3 linked regions of the Ovis aries genome follow. The protein of the gene in region 1 interacts with the protein of each later gene in a biochemical or structural test. Links are inferred from orthologs where the notes say so. Each region holds a gene or a part of one and is shown in the gene's direction. Other genes may lie near its edges. The genes, in order: BMPR1B, BMP2 and GDF5.

Region 1 (4,168 bases):
AGCCTTTACAAAATCAGAAGTAAATTTGAGATGTTTGTTTACTTAGCTTCTAGAAGTTAGGAAAAAAGGCTTGAAAGTGTATAATAATGTTTCCGTGTGCTTTTTATTCATTTTTTGAAAATTGTGTCATTTGGGCCCATTTTTTTCAAGGTTGGTGGGTTTTTGTGTTTGTGGCTTTTTTTTTTTTTTGCTGTTTTTCAACCTAAACTTGTCTTTGGTGCCGACAGAAGTTTCCTCTGAGAACAGTTTGTTTGTTAGACTTTTATTTCCTCTTCACAGAAAATAATCTTCTTAATATATTTTCAGGTATAGTGGAAGAATATCAGCTCCCCTATCATGACCTGGTGCCCAGTGACCCCTCTTACGAGGACATGAGAGAGATCGTGTGTATCAAGAAGCTGCGGCCCTCCTTCCCCAACCGGTGGAGCAGTGACGAGGTGAGGTTGGAGGTCACCGCGTGGCCGTGACCAGTGTCGAAACAGGCTTTTCTCCTTTTGCCGAAATTCCAAATATTTATTGCAGGAATTTGTCTTCTCTGTTGGGACGGTAACGATATGTCATGGCAGCAGTCTATATGGAGATAAGTGCAGTATATTACATTATCTGTTCCTTTCTCCTATTTGATTTTGCCGCTTCCAAAATACATTGAATGGGTCAGTGTTTAGCCGACATAACTGCTAACATTATTTCATTTATTGGTGATTCCCGACACTTGCATAGAAGCTGTTATTTCTCCGAATGTGGGTGTGTAAAACATCATGAATTTTCTCCATGACAGACTCAAATACAGCATTCTCTCATTTAATGAGAGAAGAGGTAGGCATCTGAAGAATTGGCTTTTTTGTACACAGAAGTGGTACAAGGTCACCTAGGTGAGATGCCTGACTGTGCGTGGATCTTCCTTAATACATGACGTGATGCTGTGGGAACAAACCCACACTCAGTCGGGCTCTGAGTGCGTCCTGGTGAAACCTCCACAGGTCTGAGAGGAGCTGACCGGAAGCCGGAAGTGAGCCGGCCAGCCTTGCCTCTCCTGCCCGCTCTGCACCTTGCTCACCCCTTTTCCATCCGCCCTGTGAAACTCTGGACCCCTTGGACCTGGAGTGTTTGGCGGCACTCGGAGTGCCACATTCAGAGAGGAGTTTGAAGCATCCCTCAAAAAAAAAAAAAAAAAATTCCAAGCCAGTGCAGACAAATGGACAGAACACTGTTTATAAACTAATTCTTGAGTGTTAATTGCATTTAAAAATAACTTTTGGTTCTTGGTTTTGTGGCCAGTTACTGAAATGCTAAATAATACACGTTTCCCAGTGAGCTGTGCAGAAAGCCTTATAAGATGCTGGAGTCTATATTATTTTGAAGGTGGTTATGGGCATTGATATTGCTCAGAGTCCCTTCACTGAGGATTTCTAATGAAGCAAAATAGTGCTTTTCAACAGGAAGGCCAATAATTGACGTGCCACAGGAGAATGCAGGAGAAACTTGTAGTGAGGCTGTGCACAGGTCATTAATCTTGTTAAATGGTATAGTGTGGTGCTGTTATTGTAGTAGACAGCAATGATTGAGGAATAACCATGTTTGTTTGACTAGTATGGAATTAGATAAAAGATTTAAGCTCATCGAGTGTTAGAGATAGTCTGGGAGTGTGCAGCGGAAAACAGGCTCCCTGGGTATTTTTGTATTTGTTTAATCTGACTTCAAAACACTCTTCTACGATCAGCAAAGCCACCTGCTTGCTCCTGTCACAAGGAAGACATGAAAATTTGTTTAAGTCCTTTAAGATTTGCATGAGAAAGGAATTTTTATGGAATTTTATGCCTACATGCTTTTAAGACTATCTTTTAAAAGTACATTCAAATTTCAGAAACCCAGAACTAGAAGCCAGTATCGAGTGCCAGCCTTGCAGATCATACGTTCCTCTCGTGTAAGTCCGGTTCTCCTTTTCCTTCCTGCAGTGTCTCAGGCAGATGGGGAAACTCATGACGGAATGCTGGGCTCACAATCCTGCCTCAAGACTGACAGCCCTACGGGTTAAGAAAACCCTTGCCAAAATGTCAGAGTCCCAGGACATTAAGCTCTGAGGCAAGAGTAAGTGTCTCTGGACAAAGCCAGTAGATATCCTCCTGTTTGTGGGCAGAGCAAAAGATGTTCCAGCAGCATCCACCGTCCCAGCCTCGAACATCCTCCTGCTCCCCAGAGGGTGTATTCTTACATCTCAGGGAGCAGCCTGGACAAACAGAAGTTTCCAGAAGCACGGATTCCTCATGTCTGTCTGTAGGCGGGAGAAACTGCCTGGGTAATTTGTTCAAGATATGATGCATGTTGCTTTCTAAGAAAGCCCGGTATTTTGGGATTGCCTTTTTTTTCCTCAAAAGATAATTTTGCCAAAATAAAACAAAAATGTAGATGTTTCAAGGTATATACTATTTCAGTTTAAAGAATGATAACTAAAGTTCTTCCCAGAAACTCTGCTGGAAGGTAAATTAAAATATGTATTTCCATTGGTAAAATGTTGTTGCACTCTACCAACCAAAAGACAATCGTTGAAGCTGGAGAACCGAATGGAACCCATCTTAAAAGCCCCCGACGTGTCCCTGCCTCCTCAGACCACTCTGGCCAGCCCTCCACTGGGGCAGCCGCAGCAATGTGAACGCATCTGGGGACCGGCACCGCCTGTGTGGGACCACCTCTGGGGATTCCCACCCATGACCTTCTGCAGCTTCAGAGGATGTGGGACAAATGAAGGTTTTACGAGACTCTACTAGAAGTAAATGTTAACACTGTTCTTCAGAACCACTTTGTATTTCTGATTCTGTTAGGTTTTTTCTTTCATTAAACACAAACAAAGCTTTTGTGTGTGTAGGAAGTTGAACCCCTGCAGGCTTTTGATCTCTCAAATGAAAGGATCAATATTAAGTAAAGTGGCTGTCAGCTGGGTCGAAGACAAGGTGCTTTAAAATAGAGATAATTTGCTCTTGAGCTGTAAGAAGATGGTGTCAAAAAGGTAGGCGGTGAGGATGGAGGTACACGTGGCTTGTGTCTTAGGTATGCGGAAGAGACCTCCTCGGCCGCATGAGGGGAAAAGTGTGCACAACTTACTGTGTACAAAGAGGGTTTCTTTTAGTTATTATCTGCCTTTTCTCTGTCTGAGTTTAGAGGAGAGGAAACGTATCAGGTTAATTGAACTAATTTTAATTTTAAATTAGGTGACTGTAACCTCCAAATGGAACAGCAGAGGAATGCTAGTGGAGACCACAAGATATGGCTGTCGGGACTGATTCTACAATAGGTACAGATGGAGGATGTAAGTCTTAGGTGATAGTGTCACGTCTTAGGAGTGCTGACTCAGTTTATTTTTATTTTCATGACGTTCAGCTCACTTTTTAATTTATTATTGTTTTCTTCTCTGCAGCGCTTGCGCAGAACATCTCTCCACCTGTTCAGTTATGTAGGCACACACACTTCTGAGCAGCAGGAGTCAAATCATTGACAGGGCCAGTATTCCTTAGCAACAGGAGCATAATAAAGGGTACAATTGTACACATCCCTCTCAACCTTATTCATTTACTTCCTGACTGTGGCTTTCTTATGCTGCTTAGAATTCTCTAGTGTGTAGCAAAGAATTGGGAAGCCCCTCTTCTTTGCCCTTAAAAAAAAAAAAAAAAACCCAAACAGCAATTCTGTTCTTTCCAGAATACTCCAGGGGGCAGTGTTTTATAACACATTTTCATTTCCCTACTTGTGGCTGAAGGATGGAGAGTTTTTGGAAATGTGACAGCTGCACGAAAAATGAGAAAATATTTTCCTGACTTCTGAAGTGAGCTTGCAGCTGGTGACTGGTTCCTCCAGACAGCATCCGAAGGCAGAGACCGACTGTGAGCTGTGCTTACCGTCTGGGAGAAGCAGTGTTCTGTATTCAGCATTCACTCCCCAGTGCTTCATAATCACAGCTCCTTTGTAAAAATATTTGCTTAATCCTTGAATATGAAAAAAAGTTTCTGCTTTTTCAAAGATTAAAAACAGTTGGTTCCAAATATAATTAGAATGCTGCTTTTACTGATATTAACATAACCTGAATAATAGTGTAAATGTTCCCTTTTCTTAGGTCAAATATTCTTTGCGATTGCTTAGGAGGAGTATCTGGCTAAAGCTAAGTGGGATAATCATC
Region 2 (3,198 bases), on another chromosome or scaffold:
GGAGGTTAGAGAACAGACAAAGTTGGGACGTTAACTTCTCTTGAAATTGTCCAGCCTTAACTACTACAGTGTCCTAGTTCCACCCTTACGTTTCCAAAGAAGCAGATCCCTTGTAAATGCCTTTGTTTCTTGACTTTTGAGTAAAATAGTAGGGTGTACTTTGCAAAATGTCATCGTTGATGTTGAGTTTCAAAGTCTTTAATTAGGAAACTGAAATCTGTATATCGAGATTTGTAAATCATCTAAATTGCAGAGTAATGTTTTAGAATACCGCTTAAGGGATTGACATTAAAGCCTTTTTCTTTTTAAGAAATGCAATAATTTCCTCAAATCCTCACTCATTAGGCCTCTACTAACTACAGTGCTGACTTTTTTTTTTTTTTGCCCTAAAGTCTGTGAATTCCAAAGAAATGCTTCACCATTCCCCCCATTATTATAGCCACCTGGAAGCAGTATTCACATATTAGGTTTTTTAAAAAATGACAATGAATTGTGAAATTTTGTTTCTTGGTGTGTATATTGACATAAATGTACGGAAAAGGGAGGATCGTTTCTTTATCTAAAGGGGAAATTGTAATTTTCTGGTTGCAGACGTTACATGGGTTGAATCAAACCCTGAAGTGATGTTTATAAATCCTTATATACAATCAGACTGTCTTACTTGCCTTACTGAACACTTTTTCTTTTTTTCCACTTTTTCATATCAAATTAGAATCTTTGGAAGAACTGCCGGAAATGAGTGGGAAAACAACCCGGCGATTCTTCTTTAATTTAACTTCTATCCCCACTGAGGAGTTTATCACCTCAGCAGAACTTCAGGTCTTTCGGAAACATATGCCCGAAGCTTTGGAAAACAATAGCAGTTTCCATCACCGAATTAATATTTATGAAATTATAAAACCTGCCACAGCTAACTCCAAGTTCCCTGTGACCAGACTTTTGGACACCAGGTTGGTGACTCAGAATGCCAGTAGGTGGGAGAGCTTCGATGTCACCCCCGCCGTGATGAGGTGGACCGCCCAGGGGCTCACCAACCATGGTTTCGTGGTGGAGGTAGCCCACCCAGAGGACAGCCATGGGGCCTCCAAGAGGCATGTGCGGATTAGCAGGTCTTTGCACCAAGATGAGCACAGCTGGTCACAGATAAGGCCCTTGCTTGTCACTTTTGGCCACGATGGGAAAGGACACCCTCTCCACAGAAGAGAAAAGCGGCAAGCAAAACACAAACAGCGGAAACGCCTCAAGTCCAGCTGTAAGAGACACCCTTTATACGTGGACTTCAGTGATGTGGGGTGGAATGACTGGATCGTTGCGCCGCCTGGGTATCATGCCTTTTACTGCCACGGGGAGTGCCCTTTTCCCCTGGCTGATCACCTGAACTCCACGAATCATGCCATTGTCCAAACTTTGGTCAACTCAGTTAACTCTAAGATTCCCAAGGCATGCTGTGTCCCAACAGAGCTCAGCGCCATCTCCATGCTGTACCTTGATGAGAATGAGAAGGTGGTATTAAAGAACTATCAGGACATGGTTGTCGAGGGTTGTGGGTGTCGTTAGCACAGCAAAATAAAATATAAATATATATATATATTAGAAAAACAGCAAAAAAATCAAGTTGACACTTTAATATTTCCCAATGAAGACTTTATTTATGGAATGGAATGGAGAGAAAAAAAACACAGCTATTTTGAAAATATATTTATATCTACAAAAAGAAGTTGGGAAAACAAATATTTTAATCAGAGAATTATTCCTTAAAGATTTTAAAATGTATTTAGTTGTACATTTTATATGGGTTCAGCCCCAGCACATGAAGTATAATGGTCAGATTTATTTTGTATTTATTTACTATTATAACCACTTTTTAGGAAAAATAGCTAATTTGTATTTATATGTAATCAAAGGAAGTATTGGGTTTGTACATAATTTTCCAAAAATTGTAGTTGTTTTTCATTTGTGTGTATTTAAGATGAAAAGTCTACATGGAAGGTTACTCTGGCAAAGTGCTTAGCACATTTGCTTTTTTTTGCAGTGCTACTGTTAAGGTCACAAGTTCAAGTCCAGGAAAAAAAAAAAAAAAGTGGATAATCCACTCTGCTGACTTTCAAGATTATTATATTATTCAGTTCTCAGGAATGTTGCAGAGTGGTTGTCCAGTCCGTGAGAATTTACATCCTTATTAGGTGGAATATTTGGATAAGAACCAGACATTACTGATCTAATATAGAAACCCTTCCCCTAACCCTTAATTTTCAGAAAGAGTAAAGCAAGACCAATAGAAATAATTAGGAAAACGATGAACCTACAGGAAAGTGAATGATGGTTTGTTGTTCTTTCCTAAACTAATGACCCCTTCAAAGGAGCTGGACTGGCCAAAGTATTAAATAAAATATAAGATTTCTTCATTATTGATATTGTGATCATGTATATTTAAAATTGATATCTAGTGGCCCTCGTGAAGAGTTGGAAATCAATTTGTATTTCACTTTTACCTCACCTGGGAGCTCTTTATGCTCAGAAGGACTCAATTTTCTAACTTTGCCCCCCACACAGCAAAATTGTTTTCTGCCTACCCCAGTTCTCTGTTCCATCAGCTTGTTTTTCTTTCTAAGGTTATGTGTTTAAACACATTTCTCCAAATGTTAAACCCATTTCAGACAATAAATATCAAAGTTCTTTCATTTCATTCTATAAAGACCAACCTGCAAGAGAAACGGTGCATGTGTACAGTGTTCACAAAGTTTCCTTACATTTGCTTCATTTTTGCTTCTGAGGCTACTCATTTTGGAGGGAGGTAGGAAGAGGCAAGGAGCTGTTGGAAATTTGCAAACAGGTCATGGGCTAATTCTTAGGAATTGATCAGTGTTTTAGTATTGTACATGCACTTCTTTGGAGCAGGATGATTTAAGAGAAAACCAATGCTACAAAGTAGGCAAAACCTGGGGAACCTAAGATAAAGTTTCAGAGATGATATCCCATGCAACTGAGGCAATGATGCCAAAAAATTAGAAAGGGAAAGTGTCTAACATCAGCTTCTACAAGGTCATCTGCCAACTGGACTGAAGCCCAAGCAAAATGAAGTCAAATTAGGCCACTCAGAATGAACATTTACAAAGGACAGGGGTTCTGTGTTCTGGGTTGAAATCAGACCCCAGGAAGGGTTGGATGGGTATGCTTATATGGCCAAGGGTCCCACCA
Region 3 (4,077 bases), on another chromosome or scaffold:
TGGGTTTGATTCCTGGTAGGGGAACAGAGATCCCACATGCCACAAGGCAGGGCTAAAAATAAAAATTAAAGAAAGAAGGAAGCCTACCTGATGACTGTTTCTGCCACTTCTATTTCTCTCACAGTCTGTTGCAGTGAAATATTCAAAAAGGGGTAATTGGTTCTGTTTGGGGATCTGGGAAGGCTTCCTGGTGGAGGTGAATTTTCAGCTGAAGCTCTCAGGATAAGAGGTTCCTCCTGTCGTGGGAGTAAAAGGCGGATGTTCTAGGTAAAGGGAACAGTTTCCCCGCTTGAGCCAGCTGGAGTTCAGACTTCTTCCAGAGCTACTAATACCAGAAAAGCACTGTGTGGGAATCATTTTTTCTGCCTCCTGCAGAGGCCGCTGCTGCCCCAGGCTGGGGCTGCCACATCTGGGACTCAGCCAGTCCCTCACAACAAAACTGAGCCTGTCTTTGCTGGGGTGGCGGTGAGGTATAGACACTCTGGACGTGTCTCCATCCAAGGAGTGGGCTTGGGGGCGCCCCCCAAAGCCTGGAGAAACCATCTGAGCTCAGTCAATGGCATTTGGGGGAGGGGTGTAGTGGGTACCGATATTTTTCTGGCTCTGGGTCACCACAAGTTTATTAAAATAAAAGAAACTGTGGGTGAATTCTGCCATCTGTGCTGCCCTCCCCCCTACCCCCGACACCAACAACAGAACAGGTCCCAGACTAGATGTGAAGGTTGCTTTAAAAACACCCCAAGGACTTAACTGAAAACCCACACTCTCATGCCTCTGGGGTTTAAGATCTTTGAATCTATTCCTAGCATCTCTCCTTGGGAAGGTGGGGTGGGCCGTGACATGGAGGTGAAGACCCCAGAGTCTGCTCCATGGGACTGAAAGTCTCCCCCCACCACCCCGCTCCATTCTAGAATCCCCCCACGGGGCTCTGTGCCAAGAGCCCCCGTGAGCCATGGCCTCAGAGGGCAGCGGTGATTTTTTTCACATAAATATATCGCACTTAAATGAGTTTAGACAGCATGACATCAGAGAGTAATTAAATTGGTTTGGGTTGGAATTCCGTTTCCAATTCCTGAGTTCAGGTTTGTAAAAGATTTTTCTGAGCACCTGCAGGCTTGTGTGTGTGTGTGTGTGTGTGTGTGTGTGTGCGCGCGCGCGCGCGAGTGTGTGTATTTTCACTGGAAAGGATTCAAAAGTTAGCAGCATTACGCCATTCTTCCTTCTTGGAAAAATCCCTGAGCCTTATACAAGCCTCCTTCAGGCCCTCAGTCAGTTGTGCAGGAGAAAGGGGGCGGTCGGCTTTCTCCTTTCAAGAACGAGTTATTTTCAGCTGCTGACTGGAGACGGTGCACGTCTGGATAGGAGAGCATTTCCACTATGGGACTGGATACAAACACACACCCGGCAGACTTCAAGAGTCTCAGACTGAGGAGAAAGCCCTTCCTTCTGCTGCTACTGCTGCTGCCGCTGCTTTTGAGGGTCCGCTCCTTTCATGGTTTTTCCTGCCAAACCAGAGGCACCTTCGCTGCTGCCGCTGTTCTCTTGGGCATCATTCAGCGGCTGGCCAGAGGATGAGACTCCCCAAACTCCTCACACTCTTGCTTTGGCACCTGGCTTGGCTGGACCTGGAATTCATCTGCACTGTGTTGGGTGCCCCTGACTTGGGCCAGAGACCCCAGGGGGCCAGGCCAGGACTGGCCAAAGCAGAAGCCAAGGAGAGACCCCCTTTGGCCCAGAACATCTTCAGGCCAGGGGGTCACAGCTACGGTGGGGGGGCCACCAATGCCAGGGCCAAGGGGGGCACTGGGCAGACAGGAGGCCTGACACAGCCCAAGAAGGATGAACCCAAAAAGCTGCCCTCCAGATCGGGTGGCCCTGAATCCAAGCCAGGACACCCTCCCCAGACAAGGCAGGGAGCCACGCGGACGGTGACCCCAAAAGGACAGCTTCCTGGGGGGAAGGCACCCTCAAAGGCAGGCTCTGTCCCCAGTCCCTTCCTGCTGAAGAAGGCCAGGGAGCCTGGGTCCCCGCGTGAGCCCAAGGAGCCATTCCGCCCGCCCCCCATCACGCCCCACGAGTACATGCTTTCGCTGTACAGGACGCTGTCCGATGCTGACAGAAAGGGAGGCAACAGCAGCGTGAAGTTGGAGGCTGGCCTGGCCAACACCATCACCAGCTTTATTGACAAAGGGCAAGGTGAGGGGGCGGGGTGGCCGGGGCACGGCTCAGAGGGAGGGACATCTGCATGCATGGAGGGGGTTTTAGAGGCCAGACACTGCACTGGGGGGAGACGGTGTGTGCCTCTGGCCCGGGGCGGTATCTGGGATTAACCTCACCCACACCAGGTCCCAGGCTGCTGGCATGTCAGAGACAGATGGCACCTGGGGATCCCCAAGTGCAATTCCTGCAAGATGTGGAGGGGGTTCCTGAAGCCTGGGAAGGAGACAAGCCCTGCCGGTTGGTGGCAGAATTGAGGACCAGCCTCTTAAACTCTTAATTACCAGGCCACACTCTGTTCTTACTGAGTTGGTCAGACTTCTAGGCTGCACGGGGTTGTAGGTTTTCTTGGATGGCAGAGAGAGAAACGAATCTCAGAAGCCCATGGTTCTGCCACTTTCCCTTCAGGCAAGGGGGCAGAGAAGGTAAGACAGGTGAAGGGAGGAAATGAGGCATCTTGGAGTCAGGGAATTATCTTCAGATATATGGGGTGGGGTGAACAACAGACCTGGGCTCTAACTCACAGTGTGACCTTGGGAAAGCCCCTTCTCCCTCCGGGGTCTCAGTTTCCCCATCAGTACAACTCTGTGGAGGTTGGATGGGGTGACTTCTGAGAGCCCTTCCAATATGAAAACTTTATGTCCTGTCCTAGACACAGATCACTTTTTATCATGAACCCAGGAGACAATCTGCTCCCCTCATTTCACATTTCTGCCCTCCTAGCATCACTGTCTTGGCTTGTCCCCTCAACTTGCCATGTGATTTCAGCAAGTCCTTTCCCCTCTCAGGGCCTGAGTTTATCCATAAGAGTGAAGAAGGAGGTTGACCTGATGGCTAGGGGTGCTGGCAGCTCGTGTGTGTTGGTTCTGGGAATCTTGGGACTTTGGCTGGCAGGGTGGGGGAGGGGTCAGAGAGGGGAAGAGGCTCCTCATTAGAGCTGGCCGGTGGGGGAGTGACAGAGGGCGGGGGAGGCACAGAGGCAACGGGTCTGCTGAGGTGGGGGAGGTGGTCTGGCTGCCTGCCCAGCCAGAGAAAGCTGTGACCCCTCGGGGAATCATAAAGTAAGTCCTTGTGCCCCCCAGCTCTAAGGGAGCTTGGAGGGGGAGAGATGGGGAGTTTAAAGGCCTAATTAGTCACCTTCTAGAGCAATATTATGAGTGCTTCCCAATGGCAAATTGGTATTTAGGAAGGAGGGCATGTTGATTTGGACATACCACTGAGCTTCTTGTACACATGCAGAGCCTTATGTTTGTACATACATGGTGAATCACACTCACACACACACATACACAATGTGCACACGCACGCCTGACATATACACACAGAACTTTCTTACACATATACAGACACATATATTGGGTTGGCCAAAAAGTTTTTTTTGGGTTTTCTGTACCATTTAATAGAAGAAATCAAAAGAACTTTTTGGCCAACCCAATACATACATACCCTTCACATAGTCACACAAGCCCAATCATACATGCATATAACCTGTCACTCAAATATGCATTACTTTCCATACTCACATGTGGACCCAGTCATACATATATATACACAAACTGTCATTCACACACACACACTCACATACCAAGCAGAGTAAGAAACATACACCACAAATCATTAGACTAGCCAGGAAAATTGAATCATAGACCAGTTTGGTCATTAACTTGCTGTGTGACCTTAGGCAAGTCACTCTCCCTCTCTGTGCTTCATCTGTGAAACAAGAGCACTAAGATCTTCTTTAAGGCATAGTACAGTAGAAGCAGCTCAGGATCAGGCATAACAAGTTCTAGGCTGGAGTTCCAACCGTGCTTTTTGCCAGCTGGGTGACCTTGAGCAAGTTACCTAACTTCTCTGAGCCTC

What was found.
Region 2: the proteins of BMPR1B (region 1) and BMP2 form a complex in vitro, tested with the Homo sapiens proteins (3 studies listed by BioGRID and IntAct, with this or other methods). The link is inferred for Ovis aries from reciprocal best matches to the Homo sapiens genes BMPR1B and BMP2.
Region 3: the proteins of BMPR1B (region 1) and GDF5 interact in a biophysical measurement, tested with the Homo sapiens proteins (3 studies listed by BioGRID and IntAct, with this or other methods). The link is inferred for Ovis aries from reciprocal best matches to the Homo sapiens genes BMPR1B and GDF5.

What each region holds. Positions count from the first base shown.
Region 1 is NC_056059.1:30,030,170-30,034,337, reverse strand, and holds the end of BMPR1B (bone morphogenetic protein receptor type-1B), read left to right. Parts: intron 1-306; coding exon 307-437; intron 438-1,955; coding exon 1,956-2,081; 3' UTR 2,082-3,649; downstream 3,650-4,168. UniProt on the Homo sapiens protein: On ligand binding, forms a receptor complex consisting of two type II and two type I transmembrane serine/threonine kinases.
Region 2 is NC_056066.1:48,887,181-48,890,378, forward strand, and holds the end of BMP2 (bone morphogenetic protein 2), read left to right. Parts: intron 1-712; coding exon 713-1,557; 3' UTR 1,558-2,681; downstream 2,682-3,198. UniProt on the Homo sapiens protein: Growth factor of the TGF-beta superfamily that plays essential roles in many developmental processes, including cardiogenesis, neurogenesis, and osteogenesis. Induces cartilage and bone formation.
Region 3 is NC_056066.1:64,669,364-64,673,440, reverse strand, and holds the start of GDF5 (growth/differentiation factor 5), read left to right. Parts: upstream 1-1,267; 5' UTR 1,268-1,571; coding exon 1,572-2,196; intron 2,197-4,077. UniProt on the Homo sapiens protein: Growth factor involved in bone and cartilage formation. During cartilage development regulates differentiation of chondrogenic tissue through two pathways.